Callithrix jacchus: one gene and its partners. The protein of the gene in region 2 binds, or shares a complex with, the protein of the main gene of each other region. Links are inferred from orthologs where the notes say so. Each region holds a gene or a part of one and is shown on either strand. Other genes may lie near its edges. The genes, in order: HERPUD1, OS9, UBE2J1 and FAM8A1.

Region 1 (4,646 bases), on a different chromosome or scaffold from region 2:
GTGACCATCTCAGGATTCTCTGCCTAGACTTTAATCCAGAACATGTGGAGATTTGAAGTTGTCTCAAACATACTTTGAAGGCCACCAGATGCAGCTGTACAACTGAAGTACAACCACTCACTGGCCACTATAAAGTCTGCCACCAGATGCATCTTGTCACTTGCCACTCACTGATAGGGTTTTGAGGGGAGTCGGCAAGCAATTGATTTATGTTGGTCTCTGTGCAGTGAAACCTCTCTGCTAATGTTAGTCGTATCTGCAGCCACTCCCAGCACTAGCATCTCCACCTCAGCTCCACTCCCATCACCAGTCAGTAAATTCTTGTACCGAGCACAATCTGGTTCCCTCGAATGCACAGTTCACGATAGGGGCCATCTCCTATGAGAATCTAATATCCCCTGATCTAACAGGAGGCAGAGTTCAGGTGGTAACGCAGCAATAGGGAGCAGCTGTAAATACAGATGAAGCTTTGCTCACCTTCTGCGGTGCCACCTGGTTCCTAACAGGTCGGGGACTCTTAGGGGTCCGTGGCCTGGCGGGGCGCTGGGGACCCTGTCTTACCCCATCCAGTTTGTGGCACTTTGTTATGGCAGCTGCAGCAGATGAACAGGCCCACCAACCAGATCAGGCTCCTTCTGTTGCCTTCCTGCCCTTGACAAGCTCCTGACGACACCTGAAAAAACAGACGTCCCAAGGGGGTTGGAACAAGGAGGGGGCCGGGGCAATGTCAGTTTTGTTTTTCAAGATTTTTTTTTTTTTTTTTTTCCTACAGAGGAGGAGGGAATGCCTACAATAGAGAGGCCTTTGTGGTCCCACTTCAGGAATCAGAGAACCCTGCCCTCCTCGTCTCGGCCCCAATTAAAGGGTGCATGTGTATCTTACAAAGTGATGCCCTTTTGGCAGGGACTCCCAGTGTGAGCAGGGCTGTGGCTGACTTGTCAATCATCATATAGGTTATGTCCCAAACGTGCAAGTCAGAAGCCCACGGAAATTGGCAACAGCTGCCTGGATGCCTCCATCCTCCCAGCCCAAGGAAGATCAGGCCTCCCTCCTTCGTTGTCCTTCCTATGAGCACGTGACGTTCTCCTGGGTGGACTTGCACAACGGGTTGCCCAGCTGTTCTTTGAGGGTCAGGTGGAGAGTCTTCCCCTATAGGACGGGCTTCCCCGGGAGGTTTCCATGTGGGGCCACCTGAGGCAGGAAAAGGAGAAGTGGACACTGGCACCTGGGGTGAAAAAGGGCGGGGGTGCAGCTTTGTGAGGAAACAATTTGAGGAGACTGCTAAACTGGGGTCTGCTGGGATACACCGCTCCCACCCCCTGCCTCGGGCGCCCTCAGTCACCCGAGCTGGGGGCCCCTCAAGTCTCAGGCCAAGCCCTCGCGCGCTTAGCGCGGGCCGCAGCGCACCCAAACATGGCCGCCAAACCCAGGTTCCCGGGGCGCAGCCGAGCCTGAGGGTGACGCAGCGGCGGCGGGTTGCATCAGCCCGCGCCCACGTGCTTGGTCCGCCCTCTGCCTCCCGGATCCGGACGCCGATTGGGCCACGTTGGGACAGTGTCTCCGCCTCAGCCAATGGGCAGCAGCCACAGAGGGTTCTGTCCGCAGAGCCGAGCGCGGGGAGCCCATAAAAGGCTCCCGAGAGTGGGGCGCGTGCCCCAGGGACGCCAACAGTCGTTGCGGAGTTTGCGGGCGGGTGCGACACCGCCTCTTGGCACCTCGGAGCGCAGCTGAGCCCCGACACAGCCGCCGCCATGGAGTCCGAGCCCGATCCCGAGCCCGTCACGCTCCTGGTGAAGAGCCCCAACCAGCGCCACCGCGACTTGGAGCTGAGCGGCGATCGCAGCTGGAGCGTTGGCCACCTCAAGGCCCATCTGAGCCGCGTCTACCCTGAGCGTCCGGTGAGAGCCGCCCCGACTTCCCGCCCCGAGGCTGTGGCCCCCAGTGCCGCCGCGTCCGCCTGCCCTGCCCTGTGGCCTCCCCCTCCGCCGGCCTTCCCTAGACGGCTGCGTTCGCCGGGTCGGTCACGTGCCCCAGGGCTGTGGTCTCCCCTTCCCTGCCCCGCCGCCGCGGGCGCCCCTCTCTTGCCCAGGGACCGTCACTAATCAGCAGCCTGACCTTAGGCGAGTCGTTTCACCCTCCAAGCCTGCTTCCCCCCAGCGGTCAGGCAACTCGGTGGTTCCTAACTGGGCTTGCACCCAACGGCTAGGAGTAAGAAAACATCCGTGCTGCAAAATGAGGGTTGTGAACGCAACCTCCCCGCGGGAGAGAAGCGGGCAGGTGCCACCCGGAGCGGTGGCTTGAGAAACCTGGGGAGCACCCAGACCCTGTGGACGGAAGGGCCCACACCCAGAAGCAGGACGTGGCTCTTCTCCCTGTCTACCTTCCGCCGGGCCCCTCCCTGTCGCACTGGACCGCGCAGCCGTTGCCGAGTCCCGGGGAGGAGCCCCGTGCACTTTCTGGCCAAGTGCGACTGAGAAGGGAAGCAGGCAGTAGTCGCCTTCAGTCTGGTTTTAGGACGGCAGCCTCTCCATTATTAGCGAGACTTCTTTGCTTTGTTTTGGTTGACGCATCTGTCAACATCACCCTTAGCACCGCCTGCCCTGGCCGCCACGTGATGAGGCTGTAAGCTGGCCCTTCCTGTATTTACTTTCTGCTCCGATATTATGTAAGTGTCAGCAGTGTTCTTCACTGCCCACGAGCATAATTCTCTATCACACAGGAGAGGGCATCCAGGCAGGAAAAGATCGTGTAACCCGAGTTCCAACTTTTGGTTGGAACTCACCTGTGTCTGTTTTTGTTCCATGTGGTCAAGAAGGTAGAAGTGAGTTTTCCTTCTGAGTTGTTGTTTTGAAATTTGCATATTGATTTAGTACGCGTGTATTCCATGTCCTGTGGAATTCACCCTGGTACACTTTTCGGTTTCACCAGAGCTGCGTCCAGAAACTGGGTGGCTGTGTTGCCATGAGAATGTCTGTTGGGTACACAAATTGGTGAAGCAGGTGTTGCCTATGGTTGCATCATATGGTAAAAGGCAGGGTTTCGGAGAAGGGTTTTTCTTAAGGGCTTGCTTTGGTGACGGACGCCAGTCCCATCTCTTCAGTCTAAAGACCTAAGATTGTAAATAAATATCTCTCAGGTATACAAATTTGTGTCTAAAAATTATTATGGCTGAAACATATTTATCACTTGTTTTCTGTGGTAGAAAATGGTATACTGTGAGAAGCCCTACTTTGTAATAGTTGTGCTTAATTTTTTCTCAAATCAGCCATTTGAGTGAAGACTCAATGTCAAGTTAGGCCTTTAAAAAGGGTGGAAATAATTCAAAATCACTGGCAGCTGTGGTTTTCAAGCCTTTTCTAGTGGTTGAACTCTAATAAACACAGAGCCATACATATCTAATAGATACTGTTTTACAAATTCATATATAAGCATGTACCTTTAACATTCTCACCTGTCAGTGAGAAAAACGGTGAACCCAGCATTCAGTATATTTTGGTTTAGTTACAGTGTCAAAAAGTCCTGATGTATATGGATAAGTAGATGGACTTTTGGCTTTGTTTGTTTTAAACAGCTTGCTTTAATTATCTCAAGCTGTTGGCAGGAACACCTTTATTCCAGGTTTTGCATAATCAGTTATGCTGGCAAGAGTAGGTATACACGTTGCTGATCTCCAATGGACAGACAGATTATATGTTAATATTTGAGGCCATTATTTTTAAGTACAGTTTAGAGGGAGTTTCAAAGAGATTTTTAAAATGAGATTTGTATAAAAGAATGTGCAGTCCCTATGGCATTAAAATCGCTGATATGGAGGAGAAGAGGGTTTGGAATTGTGACACTGGCAGCAGATGACCTTGGAAAAGTAAATTTTTCAGACTTTCCTCCCTTAAAATAGGGATACTGAATCTCACAGGGTTGTTGTATATAATGTCACCCACACACCATTTCCTCTATAACTGCATTTGTATGCCAAGAAATCCTCTATAAAGGCTTAAGTTTAGAATAGCTTCATATTATTCTGGGGCACTGCTAGGTGATTTTGGTGAAGGCTGGCCTTGGGAGTACTCTGAGTTTTTCCTGAAACCAAACTCAGTTGCTGTAGGAGCCCTGTTCGCTGTTTGTTGTTGTTATGAAAATCAGTTTACATGGGAGTTAAGAAGTATGTTGCCCTACATAGGTTTGGACTGGAGATAATTTACCTGTTTTTTTTTTTTTTTTTTTTTTGATATAGGGTCTCTCTCTGTACAATTCCCCTGTCTCAGCCTCCCGAGTAGCTTGGATTACAGGTGCAAGCCACCATGCCCAGCTAATTTTTACATTTTTAGTAGAGGCAGGGTTTCACCATGTTGGCCACTCTGGTCTCGAACTCCTGACCTAAGGTGATCTGCCCACCTTGGCCTCCCAAAGTGCTTGGAGTATAGGCATGAGCCACTGTACCCAGCCGATAATTTGCCATTCTGTATTTATTTGCATGTTAGAGACCGGTTAAAGTTAGGTACTTTCTAAATAGAAGTTTTGTATATGGAGCCTTTGAAAAAGTGTTTTCCCGTGATGCTGGGGTGAAACATACATATTCAAATTATTTGTATAAAACAGTTTATTTTGAGTGTTTGAGAACTTCTGGGAGTGAAATGCTGACCTTTGTT
Region 2 (3,459 bases):
CAGCCTGGGCAAACAAAAGGAGACTCTGTCTCAACCAAGAAAAAGAAAGATCAGAGTCTTCCACACTGGGAGAAGGCACATGGGAGGACCCATAGCTGCACTTAGTAGTGAGGAAGAGAGGGAGACACCAGGCCCATGTACCCTTGGCATACTAAGAAACTGGCATATGTGGGCAGCAGCCCTCTCTCTGGGTATGGCCAAAGGTGGAGGTGTTTTTGGGAAATGTTGAAAGGACAGGTGGGTAGCGGTTTGGATGGCAAATGGAACCTGGAGCATGCTGCAGGAGAGACTGCAGCAGAAGGAAGATCCCTGACAGGGTAACTCTGTGGTATACATTTTGGCTTTCAGAGTATAAAGGGGTAGAGGATGGGGAAAGACTTGGTGTAAAAGAAGGGAAGAAACAGAAATGGACAGATGAGAAAAGGAAGACGGCAGTACAGCAAGTGTTTCTTTGAATCCTTGCCAGGCCAGGCTTCATTTAGCTGCCCTGGTCTTATCCTGCATACTCCAGCCCCATTTATAGACCCGGGGAGTGGGGAGCAAAGAACAGAACCAGAGCATGATCTGAAAAGAGCACGAGCCTCCTCCCTGCTGGAGCCCCCACCCCAGAAAAAAGGTTGATGGATCGATGGTCCAGTTCTTTATTTAGAAACCTGATTGTTCAAGAACATGGTAGGTGCTTCACACCTTTTTCGCTGGGATTGTGCTGGAGGTGATGGGTAGCATTCTCCCACTTTCTCAGCAACAGAGGTGAAGGCTCCTCAACTCAGAAGGACAAATGGTGTGTGACAGGGTGGGCAGGGAAAAGGAGAAGGAAATCCCAAGGCAATTCAATAGAAGGGGGTAAAGCGACTCCCAACAGCACTAGGGGCAGGTGGGGGCCTGCTTGCTCAGTGCCTGCTCACTGCCCTGCCCTCCTTGCTCTCTCTACCCCACTCCACTCCAAAGATCCTACTGAATCTCCAGGTACGGAGCAGGGAATATCCTATCATTAGGGGACAATAACAGGAAAAGCCACAGAGGAGAGGAAGCGGATTGAGGGAAAGCCCAGGAGAGCAAACATCACAGGCCCGGTGAGGTCTCCAGGTGGCTGCCAGCAGGGGCAACAGCATTCACCCAGGGCCCCCACACCCACAGAGTCACCCGAGAGGTCCGCAGCTCAGCTCCACTCTGCTGTTTGGCCCTCAGGGGTACCAGGGTAGGGAGGTGGGGAGGAGGCAGGCCAGTCCAGGAAGACTCTGGATTCTGTGGAGGGTCAAGTGCAGTGTTGGTCTCAGAAGTCAAATTCATCCAGGTCCCCTGTGCCCTCCCCACCTTGAGAGCCCCACACCCGGCGGTAATTGCTCTCCAGCTCTTTCTGCCGCTGGCGTTCTTTCTGGGCTTCTTCGGCTCCCGGCACCTGGTGGGAGAGGGTAGAGGTGGGCTGGAGCTGCTGGCTGTTGAGCCCAGGGAAGTCCAGGGCCGGGTGGCTGGGGGAAGGCAGGGAGTGAGAACACTCATGTCCTGAGGGGCTCTCCCTGAGTGGCAGCGCTCGGAGCCACTGGAACCCTAGCCTCATCTTATAGATCAGGAAAAGAACAAAGCAACAGCGTGGCTGGGGCAGGCCTGTGCCTCCACTGCAGGCGGGCTGGGGACGCGAGGGCTGGAGGCCAGGCCTGGGGGTAGAAGCCTCTCACCAAGATATTGAAGAAGATCTCCTTGAGGTTTCTTGTGTCCTCATCAGTCAGCCAGCGTGCACCCTCTTCAGCCCCTTCCGCCCATGGGCGGACAATTTTGATCTCAATTTTCCCTGGAAAGGAGCAGTATGCAGTGAGAGGAGAAGATAGCTAGGAGCCTCAGGGCAGGCCCCCTGCCCCGCTGGTCCCAGCCCCTCCGCTTCCGGCAGCTCGCCCTTCCGACAGCGCTGGGTCCAGCCGCCCTCCAGGGCCCACCTGCAGCTGTGAGTCCCTCCCTCTCCAGCAGCTCCTTCACCAGCCCCTCGATTTGTTTCAGCTGTGGGTTTTCCCGTTTCATCTCGAGGACCGTCAGATCCTGATTAGGGCCTCCGAGACGGAGCTTGGTGACCCGGACCCGGACTCTGTGCTCAGGATCCTCCTCTTAGAGGGGGAGACACACAGGGAAACACAAAGCAGAGGCGTGACTCCAGGGTTGGGGTGTGGGGGTCGCCTCCCCCTAAAACATCAGTTGGCTTTGGCAGCTATTCCATCTCAACATGTATATGAGCCAGGGGTCAAAAAACTGTGTGCCTCCCCCATCCAATTCACCCAGTAGAGCTCCCTCCATCAATTGCAGTCTTCCATCTTCCCACCCTACTCAATAATTCTGCCCATCACCTATAGGAAAACAAATGTTTTCTGAAGCCAAAATTAGGCCACCTGCATCAATTAAGTTTCGTTTGAAGAAGCAGGTTGGAAAAGTGCGGTTTCTTCCTCCATATGTTGGGACTTAATGTTTATAGAGAGAATGGGATGGAAGGTTTGAAACTGAACATTCCATTTGGAATATCTGATGTCCACACCAATAGGACCCTATGAAATGGACACAAGGGGATGCAAGAAGAAGAAGTAATTTAAAGTCTATCCAGGCTATTGACTCATGTGCAGCTGGGCTCTCCTATTCATACCCTGATAGCTAGGACCTCACTCGGTGCAAAGTCCTAAATGTTGACAGGCTACATCCTTCACAGTTGTGTGGTTTTCAGCATATAGACTCACAAACATTCAGTTACTATCTACTGATCAGTCAGTGTGTGCCAGGCAGTGTGCTAGGCACTGGCTGTGCAGGAGCAAACCAGGAAACAAGCAGACATGCTCTAAAAGCTGCTTCCCAGAGGGATGAATAGGAGGTAAGCATGCCAAGGGATGACAGTGGTGCGAAGGAGGCGCAAGTGAGGACAGTGTTCCAGAAAGAGGGGAGAGAATGAACACCCTCAGAAGGCAAGGAACAGGGTCCCCTCAAAGAACAAGACCAGCTGAGGGATGAAAACAATGGACTGGGCTACTCCTTCTTGTCTGACTGCTCTCACCTGTAGGTTGGGGTGATGGGGGAGGCTTTTTGGGGACAACCCTCTTTTTCCTGTGCTTCTTCACCAGCTCTGGACTCTGCTTTTCCTCCAGTCTTTTGATGAGTTTGTTGAGAGTGGATGTCAGAGCCAGCATTGCCCGATCCCGCTCTGACTCCTTCTTCAGCCCATCTGGGTCCAGCTCCTTCTCTGTCTGGAATACCCAAGAGAAGATAAACACTCAAGGGTCTGGGGTATGGAGGTGGCCAGCAGGCCAGGCTCTGTAGGAGAGTCTGCTATTTTGTGACGCAGTTTTGTTCTTGTTGCCCAGGCTGGAGTGCAGTGGCACAATCTTGGCTCACTGCAACCTCCGCCTCCCGGGTTCAAGCGAGATGGGATTACAGGCCTCAGCCTCCTGAGGATCTGGGATTACAGGCCTGAGCCGGTGCACCCGGCCA
Region 3 (4,605 bases), on a different chromosome or scaffold from region 2:
TGGCTAAAGGAGAGCCCCAGAGGACAACTGCATCCACAGATTGATGGACCTGGAGGCTGAATAGCAAAAGGCTTCTAGTACTCCCCTATCAAATAGGAACTCATTATATACAGCATCTGCTTCGCAGGCCTTACTGTGGTAGGGCCTATTGCACAAATTAAGGGCTTTTATGGAGCTGTGGCAGGCGAGGATGTCAAGTGGTAGCTAATTCGAAGATCCAACACAATGAATGAATGAAGCAGCACTGAAGTTTGGTTTTGTTCGCATATCTCAGCCAATCAGATTATCAGTTTACTATACAAAAAACAACATGGGGAATGGTTTAAAAGATACCATCTAATTTTAGATATCCTTCACTTTTTTCCTCCCAATTTCACTAAGAAACTCACGGATTTAGATTATTTAACAACAGAAAACAAATCAAATTTAAGAGTTTTGTATCTTTAAATAACAGAATAACACTTGCCCAACCTGATTAATCCTCTCTATCCTCCCCACCTTCCCATTCCCTCCCTCCTTTCCGGTCCTAAGGTTCCTACTCCTTCTCAAGTCTTTTGAACTCATAGTCCTCTCTCAATCCCACACATTTGACACTGAAGCAAGAAGTGTGTTCTTTGAAGTTTAATCTTTCATATTTGTATGCTTTCTCTCAATTCAATGTAATTCCTTTTTTTTTGACGGCTTTTAAATCTAAACAAATCAAAAGCAAACAAACTTCTGCAACGCCTAAAACAGTGTCTTGCACCTAACACACTACTCGAAAAAAATTATTAATATACAACTCTGATTAGTGCAGTGGCTCACGCCTATAATCCCAGCACTTTGGGGGGCCGAGAAGGGCAGATAATCTGAGGTCAGGAGTTAGAGACTAGCCTGGCCAACATGGTGAAAACCTGTCTCTATCAAAAATACAAAAAATTACCCGGGCGTGGTGGCGCACACCTGTGGTCCCAGCGCTCTAGAGGCTGAGGTGGGAGAATCGCTTGAGCCTGGGAGGTAGAGGCTGCAATGAGCCAAGATCGCGCCACTGCACTCTAGCCTGGGCGACAGAGCGAGACTCCGACTGAACAGGGGGAAAAAAAATCCTCCTCCATTCCCTCGCCACTGGCTTTCCCCTCTCCCCCTCACTTAACCCCTGTTTCTCGCCGCGCCCCCCACCACCGCACCCCTGCCCCGCCACAGCAACTGGATCTATAAACAAAGCCCTTCCCAGACCCCGCGGGACCGCGCGTGAACAGCTTTGCAGCCGGAGCCCGGCGCCCCCTCCGAGCTCTCGAGGGCCCGGGGGTCCCGGACCTCTCCTGCAACGGGTAGGGCCGGCGCTCCTAGCGCCTGGGGACCCCGGAGGGCCAGAGGGAAGTTCGGCTTCCGGGGGCCGGGGCGAGGGGACAAAGACACTGCTCGCTCCTGCAGATCCCAAGCCGGCTTTACGGGGCCGGCGGCGACTGGGGAGTGACCGACCGCCACGAAGCTGCTGCCACGTCAGGCAACTTCACAAAACCCGGACGAGGGCAGGTGACGCAAGCCCCGCGGCCGCGGCGGGGCTGGGCCTGCGGCTACCCGAGGAGGCTGATCTCCGGCCCGGTCGCCCGGTTCAGCGACGCCCGGCCGGCGCCGGCCCGGCTCTCAGGGAGGCGGGGGGTGCAGCGGAGGAGGCGGCGCCATCGCGAAGCCAGCACCTCGCCCGCACTCGGCCTCGTCACCCCGCCTGCAGTCCGGGCTGGACTGGGCGGCGTCTGCGGAGGCTCCTCGGCCAGACCGCGTCAGCCTGAGCCGTGCTGAGACCCGGGCAGCGGCCCGGGAGGCCGGAGCCAGGCCAGCGACCCGCCATGGAGACCCGCTACAACCTGAAGAGTCCTGGTGAGCGAGGCTGGGGCCCCCGGGCGAAGAGGGCAGAGTGACCTGGACCCCGGGGCGGTCGCCGCGGTCCCCTAGCGTTTGGCGCCACTCATGGCTCCGCTCCCGGTGTCGCGCTCTACGCGAGACCGCCGCCTGCCCGGGAAGTGCAGGCCGCAGGGCGGGGTGGCCCGGTGAACGCCCGCTGCTAATCCTCGGGCAGGCTAGCGCGCCGCAGCACCCGGCCTCTCCCTTTTCCCATCTTCGCCCCGTCCCGTAGAGCTGGGTCAGAAACTCATCCCTAAGAACAGGTGTAAAGGTGATGTCGGTGGGCGACAGTCAACAACCCCTTGCTGTACCTGCATCGGGAACACCGTCGCTATCCCCTCCCGGTCACTGCCACTGGACTTCTGTTAGCCGGCTGCATTACTCACATTTGAGGGGTTGGTCGTTTAAATATCTTACTTGCGGCACCTGGGCCGAATAGAATTGCAGACATAAAGGAAATGTTCTGTAACTAAGCCAGTTAACTATAGAACTAAAACAAAACAAAACAAACAAAAAATACCTGGTTGAACCCTGTACATGGGAACTAACCTTGATTTTTGCCATACTGGCTAATATGAAATATATCTATATTCAGTCGTAGAGATTCTTTTCCTGCATTTAATGATCCTGCTTCATTTACACAAGCAGTCCCAGCAATCCTAGCCTTTAATTACTTTCTGGTGCATAATAAAGATAAGTAACTAGCGTTCTCAGCTTAATACAACAGGCTTGAAATGAATCATTGGATCGTCTAAATGGTATTTTTTTCTATCTGTACCTTGGTAAATTTTGCCAGGAGGAAGAAACTCCACAGTTAACTCTGCAAACTCTAGGATATTAATGATGATTTCACCGACTCTTGCTTTTGCTTAAAATTTCCTTCCAAAAAAAGCTGTTTCTCAGTAGGAATTAGCAAAATTAGCATCCTTATGGAAAGAGTTGACATTGTGAATCTGGGGGTTTTTGTAAGGTTTCAGAATATGCAAAAATCCCAGAAAAGCCTGAGGATATTGATTTGAGGGAGCTTTGTTAGCTTGAGTGCTGCCAGGCTTAGAAATGTCCTTAGGTGACCAAGTGTGTAGATTTGGTCATAACATTTTAGGGGCCACTGACTCCTTAAAAAATATGAAGACCTGGCATGGTGGCACGTGCCTGTAATCGCAGCATTTGGGAGGCTTGTGGGGGTGGGGGACAAATTACTTGAGGTCTGGAGTTCGAGACCAGCTTGATCAACATGGGGAAACCCTGTCTCTACTAAAAATACAGAAATTAGCCGGGCATGGTGGTGGCACACTCCTGTAGTCCCAGATGGCTTGAGTCTGGGAGGTGGAGGTTGCAGTGAGCCAAGATCGCGATTGCACTCCAGTATGGGCGACAGAGCAAGACTCCATCTCAAAAAAACAAAACAAAACAAAAACCTGGAGTGGAGGTAGGGGGAAGAAAAGACCAAAGAGAAAGAGGGGAAGAAAGAAAAGCTTAATGTATGATTGAATTATTTACATTGTGGTAGATTTAACTAGTACTATTTGGGTAGAAACATCTGGTGGCTCCCTGCTCACAGGGTTCCTTAGGACAGCAGAGGTGCTTAGTGAAAGGTCCAGAGGATAATCCACATGTGAGTAGTAGTGCAGTTTGGAATGGAGAACTGGTGGAACCCAAGAGATTGTTGTCAGAAAACATCACTCAATTTCAATAGGTTAGACTTAATACTACAATGATAAGCTTTTAAAATTCTCCAGAATTTTGTACATTTCCAAAGTATGCGAACTATCATCCACTGGCTGAGCTTTGGCTGACATGCTTCTAGCTTTGTCATAAATTGCTTCCTTTTTTTGGTTTTATTTCCTCAAAGATAGTGTTGCTGATTTAAAAAACAATGCTACTTTTCTTTTTTTTTTTTTTTCTGGAGACAGAGTCTTGCTTCCTCACCAGGCCCCAGACTGGAGTGCAGTGGCGTGACCTCAGCTCACTGCAACCTCCGCCTCCTGGGTTCAAGCAATTCTCCTGCCTCAGCCCCCTGAGCAGCTGGGACTACAGGCACGCACCACCATGCCCAGCTAATTTTTGTATTTTTAGTAGAGACGGGGTTTCACCATGTTGGCCAGGATGGTCTCGATCTCTTGACCTTGTGATCCACCTGCCTTGGCCTCCCAAAGTGCTGGGATTACAGGCGTGAGCCACCGCGCCCGGCCACAATGCTTCTTAAAAATCTATTTTTGTTAGTGTGTTGATTATTTGGAATTCATAGAGAAGTTGAATTAGGTGAGATATGAGACTTACTGAAAATGCTGGGAGGCATCCTGAAAATCCTTCCTTTGCTTTATTCTCAGTCCTGTGGTATTTTTTAGAGTAATGCCTATATGAAGGAAAACAACTGAAAATTCCAATCTCCTGTGTATGGCAGGGTGCGTGCACACACACACACACGCACATAAAACACCAGCCAACCAACCAAACAAAAGCCACCACACAGTGTGAGGGATATAATCCTTTACTTTTTATCTGATGTGGGGTTGTCTTTGATGTATGAGTGGAAAGATTAAATGAAGACAATACAGATAACTGGTTAAGGGCCAGTGCACTAGCATGTGGATAGTAAACCTGTTCATTTCATAGGTGGGAAACTTTTTCTTTTATGAATTTTTTGGAATGGACCTGTGATTGTGGCTAGAGCTGTTGTGTAGGATCACCTCATATGCCTCTGACTAGCCTGTCAGTAGT
Region 4 (4,436 bases), on a different chromosome or scaffold from region 2:
AAGAAGAGGGATTATACTGATTTAAAAGCTGGATTCTGTCCTCATCCTGTAGCTAGTCTGCATTTATGAAAATTTACTTTCCACTGTGGTAAACACAAGCTTTCTACTCCAGCCGAACTGTGCCTTTCCTCAAATCCAGTCTCAAATTTAGGTGCCTTTTCATTTTCTGTTATGGAAAGGCCCTGAGCATATCCCAGGCTTTAGAGCCTTTTGTTAGTACTCTAGTCCATGCATAATTTCCCCTTCCTCTGAAATATATATATAGCACCTCACTACTTACATTTCAATATACTTTCCTGGACGGGCACAGTGGCTCACGCCTGTAATTCCAGCACTTTGGGAGGCCGAGGTGGCTGGATCACGAGGTCAGGAGTTCGAGACCAGCCTGACCAACATGGTGAAACCCCGTCTCTACTAAAAATACAAAAATTACCCAGGTGTCACGGCACACATCTGTAATCTTAGCCACTCGGAAGGCTGAGACAGAAGAACAATTTGAACCCAGGAGGCAGAGGCTGGCAGTGAGCCGAGATGGTGCTACTGCACTCTAGCCTGGGCGACAGAGTGAGACTCCGTCTCAAGATACAAAAACAAAACTATAAAAAAAATTATATATATTAATATATGTACCGGTTTAGTTTAATTTCTTTTTCTTTCTTTTCTTTTTTTTTTTTTGAGACGGAGTTTCGCTCGTTACCCAGGCTGGAGTGCAATGGCGCGATCTCACCGCAACCTCCGCCTCCTGGGTTCAGGCATTTCTCCTGCCTCAGCCTCCTGAGTAGCTGGGATTACAGGCACGCCCCACCATGACCAGCTAATTTTTTTTTTTTTTTTTTTTTTTTTTAAGTAGAGACGGGGTTTCACCATGTTGACCAGGATGGTCTCAATTTGTTGACCTCGTGATCCACCCGCCTCGGCCTCCCAAAGTGCTGGGATTACAGGCTTGAGCCACCGCGCCCGGCCTGGTTTAATTTCTTATCCTCTAAAGGTATAGATGCGTTCTGTGCCACCTTCTCGAGTACTAATGGTTAACTGGAATGAACACAAGCAACCAAGCACTAGCCTGGAGCCCAAAACAACAGTCGCAGTTCTGCAACAGAAAACGCCGCGCTGGCCCTGAGACCCGTCTCGGAAATGCTTCTTATCCCTCTGCTGTTTCTCCCAGGACAACCTAGGTCCTACCCCACGGGAATATACAGAGAGTCCTCAGGCCACAGACTTAAAGCCACGACACGGGGGCGGGGGCCCACGACGGTCTGGTCCCAGCCGACCAGCCAGCTACTACCAGGGACCGAACCGGGGACTGCAGCCGCACTTCCCCGCCCTCTTTTCCCAGCTCCGCCCGGCGGCGGGCGTCGCTCCTGAGGGGCGGGGCTTCCGCTTCCGGCCGGGGATTGTTGACGCCTACGCCTGCGGCTGCGGCTGCGGCGTTGGCGACGGACTGTTGGGGAGGGGTAATTTGGGGAGGAAGACCGAGCAGTGACAGGTACCGCGGTGGGTGCTGCTGAGACGACGATGGCAGAGGGGCCCGAGGAAGCCCGAGGCCGCCCTCCTGGGCAAGACGAAGGCGGGGGGGACCACGAGCCCGTCCCTTCCCTGAGAGGGCCTCCTACCGCCGCCGTCCCATGCCCCCGCGACGACCCCCAGGACGAACCCCAGGCCCCGGGCCGGCCCACAGCTCCGGGCCTCGCAGCTGCCGCCGCTTACGAATCAGAGCCCCCGCGCGAGCTTGGGAAGCGTGGGGAGGCGGCCTCCGGCTCCGGTGCTGGGCCGCCGGAGCAGGCGGGCTGCGAGGCGCCCGAGGCCGCGGCGCCGCGGGAGAGACAGGCGCGGCTGAGCGCCCGTGAGTACTCCCGGCAAGTGCACGAGTGGCTGTGGCAGTCCTACTGCGGCTACCTCACCTGGCACAGCGGCCTGGCCGCCCTCCCCGCCTACTGCAGCCCCCAGCCGTCTCCGCAGAGCTTCCCCTCGGGCGGCGCTGCCATCCCCCAGGCCGCGGGGCTGCCGCCGGCCCCGCAGCTGGGCTATTACAACCCCTTCTACTTCGTGAGCCCCGGGCCTGCGGGGCCCGACCCGGGGACAGCTGCCGGCCTCAGCACCCCTGCTCCAGTCGCGAACCTGGGACCCCGGGCTCCTCAAGTGCAGTCGTCGGCCCGGGCCACTCCAGTGACGAGGGTAGGATCTGCAGCCCCTTCTCGAAGCCCGAGCGAGACCAGGCAGCAGGCAGGTGAGACCAGCGAGCAGGAGGCTGGGCGTAGAAGGGTCTTCAGGGGCCTGTGGGTAGAGCTGGCACGCTTTTTAGACCTGTCACTGCTGCTGCTGCTACTCCAATTAGCGATCCTGCCCGTGCACTAGCTATCGTTTGTCCAGGCCCTAAATCCCCAAAATGTACAAGGAGGCAACAGTTTCTTCTTCCTTTAGACCTGGCACTCCGAATTGATTCCCCTACTCATGGGGACTAGTTGTTTCTACGTGAAAAAAATTGCTCTTCCTTTGGTTTTCACGCTGTGCAGAGTGAGGTCCAAAGCTAAACTCGCAGATGGCAAACTCACTTTTGGAGGTGCTCAACTGTTAATGCTGGAAATTATTCAGACATTGGCTACTTAGGACAGTGGAACTGAACGGACATAAAAGGAGATTGACATGGATACCAGTGGAGTTACGAAGCTTTGATTGGGTCAAAGCTTCACTTCATTTGATCGAGAAGCCCTGGCTTATTGATCTTGTACATTGTGTAATTGTTTTTGCTTCTGTGTGTGAACTAGAATATTTTGAATTAGTTTACTATTTAAGCTATTACACTTTTCGTTTATTTTATTTAGCCACAGATAGAAGGGACAAGAACTACGTGATGCCTCTTATCCCAGCAGAATTTAGCATGACAGATTGATATTCATTGGGTTTATTTTAGAGAAAGCAAAACAAACTAAACACACAGGAGAGGTTACAGGGATTTACTTTATACTAATTGCTAATGTATAACCTTGATTTGTACTAAAATCAATTTTCAGTCACTTAGATGTGATCACTCGGATTCTCAGTAGAGTTCTTAGTGAAATGTATTGGGTACTCGAATCAGATTTGTCTGTTAAATCACTTCTGGGGGCGGGGGGAGGAGGTGTGGAGGACGAGGTTTGGCTCTATCGCCCAGGCTGGATAGTGCAGTGGCGCGATCTTGGCTCGCTGCAACCTCCGCCTACCAGGTTCAAGCCATCCTGCCACCTCAGCTTCCCTAGTAGCTGGGAATATAGGCATGTGCCATCATGCCCGGCTTATTTTTTAATATTTTGTTGAGACGGGGTTTCGCCATGTTGGCCAGGGCCAGACCAGTCTCGAACTCCTGGCTTCGAGCAATCTGCCTGCCTTGGCCTCCCAAAGTACTGGTATTACAGATGTGAGTCACTGCATCCAGCTGTGTGAAATCAAATTTTAAACGTTAAAGTTAGGAAAGCAAACTTTAAGTTCAGTAAATAGTGGGGTACTGTTACTCTAATAACATGGATTCTTGGTGGAATCAATATCAATAGTTGCTGCAAGGCTATATTTCTTATTAAGTTGTACCTTGACTTTACCAATTCATTATATGGCTTGTGTTCCAAGGCTTATGTGAAATGATTGGATTTTCCTAACTTCTTTTTTTTTTTTTTTTAAATTTACAGGCAGAGAATATGTTATTCCCTCCTTGGCTCACAGATTTATGGCAGAGATGGTGGATTTCTTTATTCTCTTCTTTATAAAAGCAACCATTGTCTTAAGTATTATGCACCTCAGTGGGATAAAGTAAGTTGAGGACATTTGCAGAAAGGTTTTTATTTCTACTGTTTAAAACTATTGTTTTGTTAAATTCTGTTTGTCTGCACGAGACTATATGGATAATGAGCTTGTCAGTCTCATGATTTCTTTATGAGGGCTTTGTCAGATTTATGGTTTTCTTGTTGATTTAAGAAATAACTAAAATTTTCTACTGAATTCTGTAAGATGTGTGGGAATCTCGCCTATCAAAAATAGGTAAAAAGAGCCTCCAAACCTGGTTTGATTTTATTCAACTTTTTTTTTTTTTGAGACAAGAGTCTCGCTCTGTTGCCCAGGTTGGAGTGCCATGGTGGGATCTTGGCTCACTGCAACATCTGTCTCCCGGGTTCAAGCAATTCTCTTGCCTGAGCCTCCCAAGTAGCTGGCCACTACAGGTTCATGCCACCATGCCTGGCTAATTTTTTGTATTTATTTTAGTAGAGACTGGGTTTCACGGTGTTGCCCAGGCTTGTCACAAACTCCTGAGCTGAGGCAATCTGCCCGCCTCGGCCTCTGAAAGTGCTTGGATTATAGGTGTGAGCCACCGTGCCTGGCCTCAACAATTCCTTTAGGCCAGGAACCAATTTACCTGTCCCTGTCCTGTTCCCTCTTGCTATCTTGTGGAGTCTCTAAAGACAAGGTAT

Evidence for each region.
Region 1: OS9 (region 2) and HERPUD1 share a complex: the UniProt entries of both Homo sapiens proteins name them as parts of the HRD1 complex. The link is inferred for Callithrix jacchus from reciprocal best matches to the Homo sapiens genes OS9 and HERPUD1.
Region 3: OS9 (region 2) and UBE2J1 share a complex: the UniProt entries of both Homo sapiens proteins name them as parts of the HRD1 complex. The link is inferred for Callithrix jacchus from reciprocal best matches to the Homo sapiens genes OS9 and UBE2J1.
Region 4: OS9 (region 2) and FAM8A1 share a complex: the UniProt entries of both Homo sapiens proteins name them as parts of the HRD1 complex. The link is inferred for Callithrix jacchus from reciprocal best matches to the Homo sapiens genes OS9 and FAM8A1.

What each region holds. Positions count from the first base shown.
Region 1 is NC_133521.1:14,806,538-14,811,183, forward strand, and holds the start of HERPUD1 (homocysteine-responsive endoplasmic reticulum-resident ubiquitin-like domain member 1 protein), read left to right. Parts: upstream 1-1,751; coding exon 1,752-1,898; intron 1,899-4,646. Other genes in the region: uncharacterized protein LOC118149719, read right to left, coding at 585-673, 883-1,753. UniProt on the Homo sapiens protein: Component of the endoplasmic reticulum quality control (ERQC) system also called ER-associated degradation (ERAD) involved in ubiquitin-dependent degradation of misfolded endoplasmic reticulum proteins.
Region 2 is NC_133510.1:61,984,568-61,988,026, forward strand, and holds the end of OS9 (protein OS-9), read right to left. Parts: intron 3,216-3,459; coding exon 3,026-3,215; intron 2,097-3,025; coding exon 1,932-2,096; intron 1,790-1,931; coding exon 1,677-1,789; intron 1,400-1,676; coding exon 1,274-1,399; 3' UTR 628-1,273; downstream 1-627. UniProt on the Homo sapiens protein: Lectin component of the HRD1 complex, which functions in endoplasmic reticulum (ER) quality control and ER-associated degradation (ERAD).
Region 3 is NC_133505.1:95,402,395-95,406,999, reverse strand, and holds the start of UBE2J1 (ubiquitin-conjugating enzyme E2 J1), read left to right. Parts: upstream 1-1,540; 5' UTR 1,541-1,829; coding exon 1,830-1,860; intron 1,861-4,605. UniProt on the Homo sapiens protein: Catalyzes the covalent attachment of ubiquitin to other proteins. Functions in the selective degradation of misfolded membrane proteins from the endoplasmic reticulum (ERAD) and is essential for cells to recover from ER stress.
Region 4 is NC_133505.1:13,151,766-13,156,201, reverse strand, and holds the start of FAM8A1 (protein FAM8A1), read left to right. Parts: upstream 1-1,391; 5' UTR 1,392-1,515; coding exon 1,516-2,227; intron 2,228-3,659; coding exon 3,660-3,780; intron 3,781-4,436. UniProt on the Homo sapiens protein: Plays a role in the assembly of the HRD1 complex, a complex involved in the ubiquitin-proteasome-dependent process of ER-associated degradation (ERAD).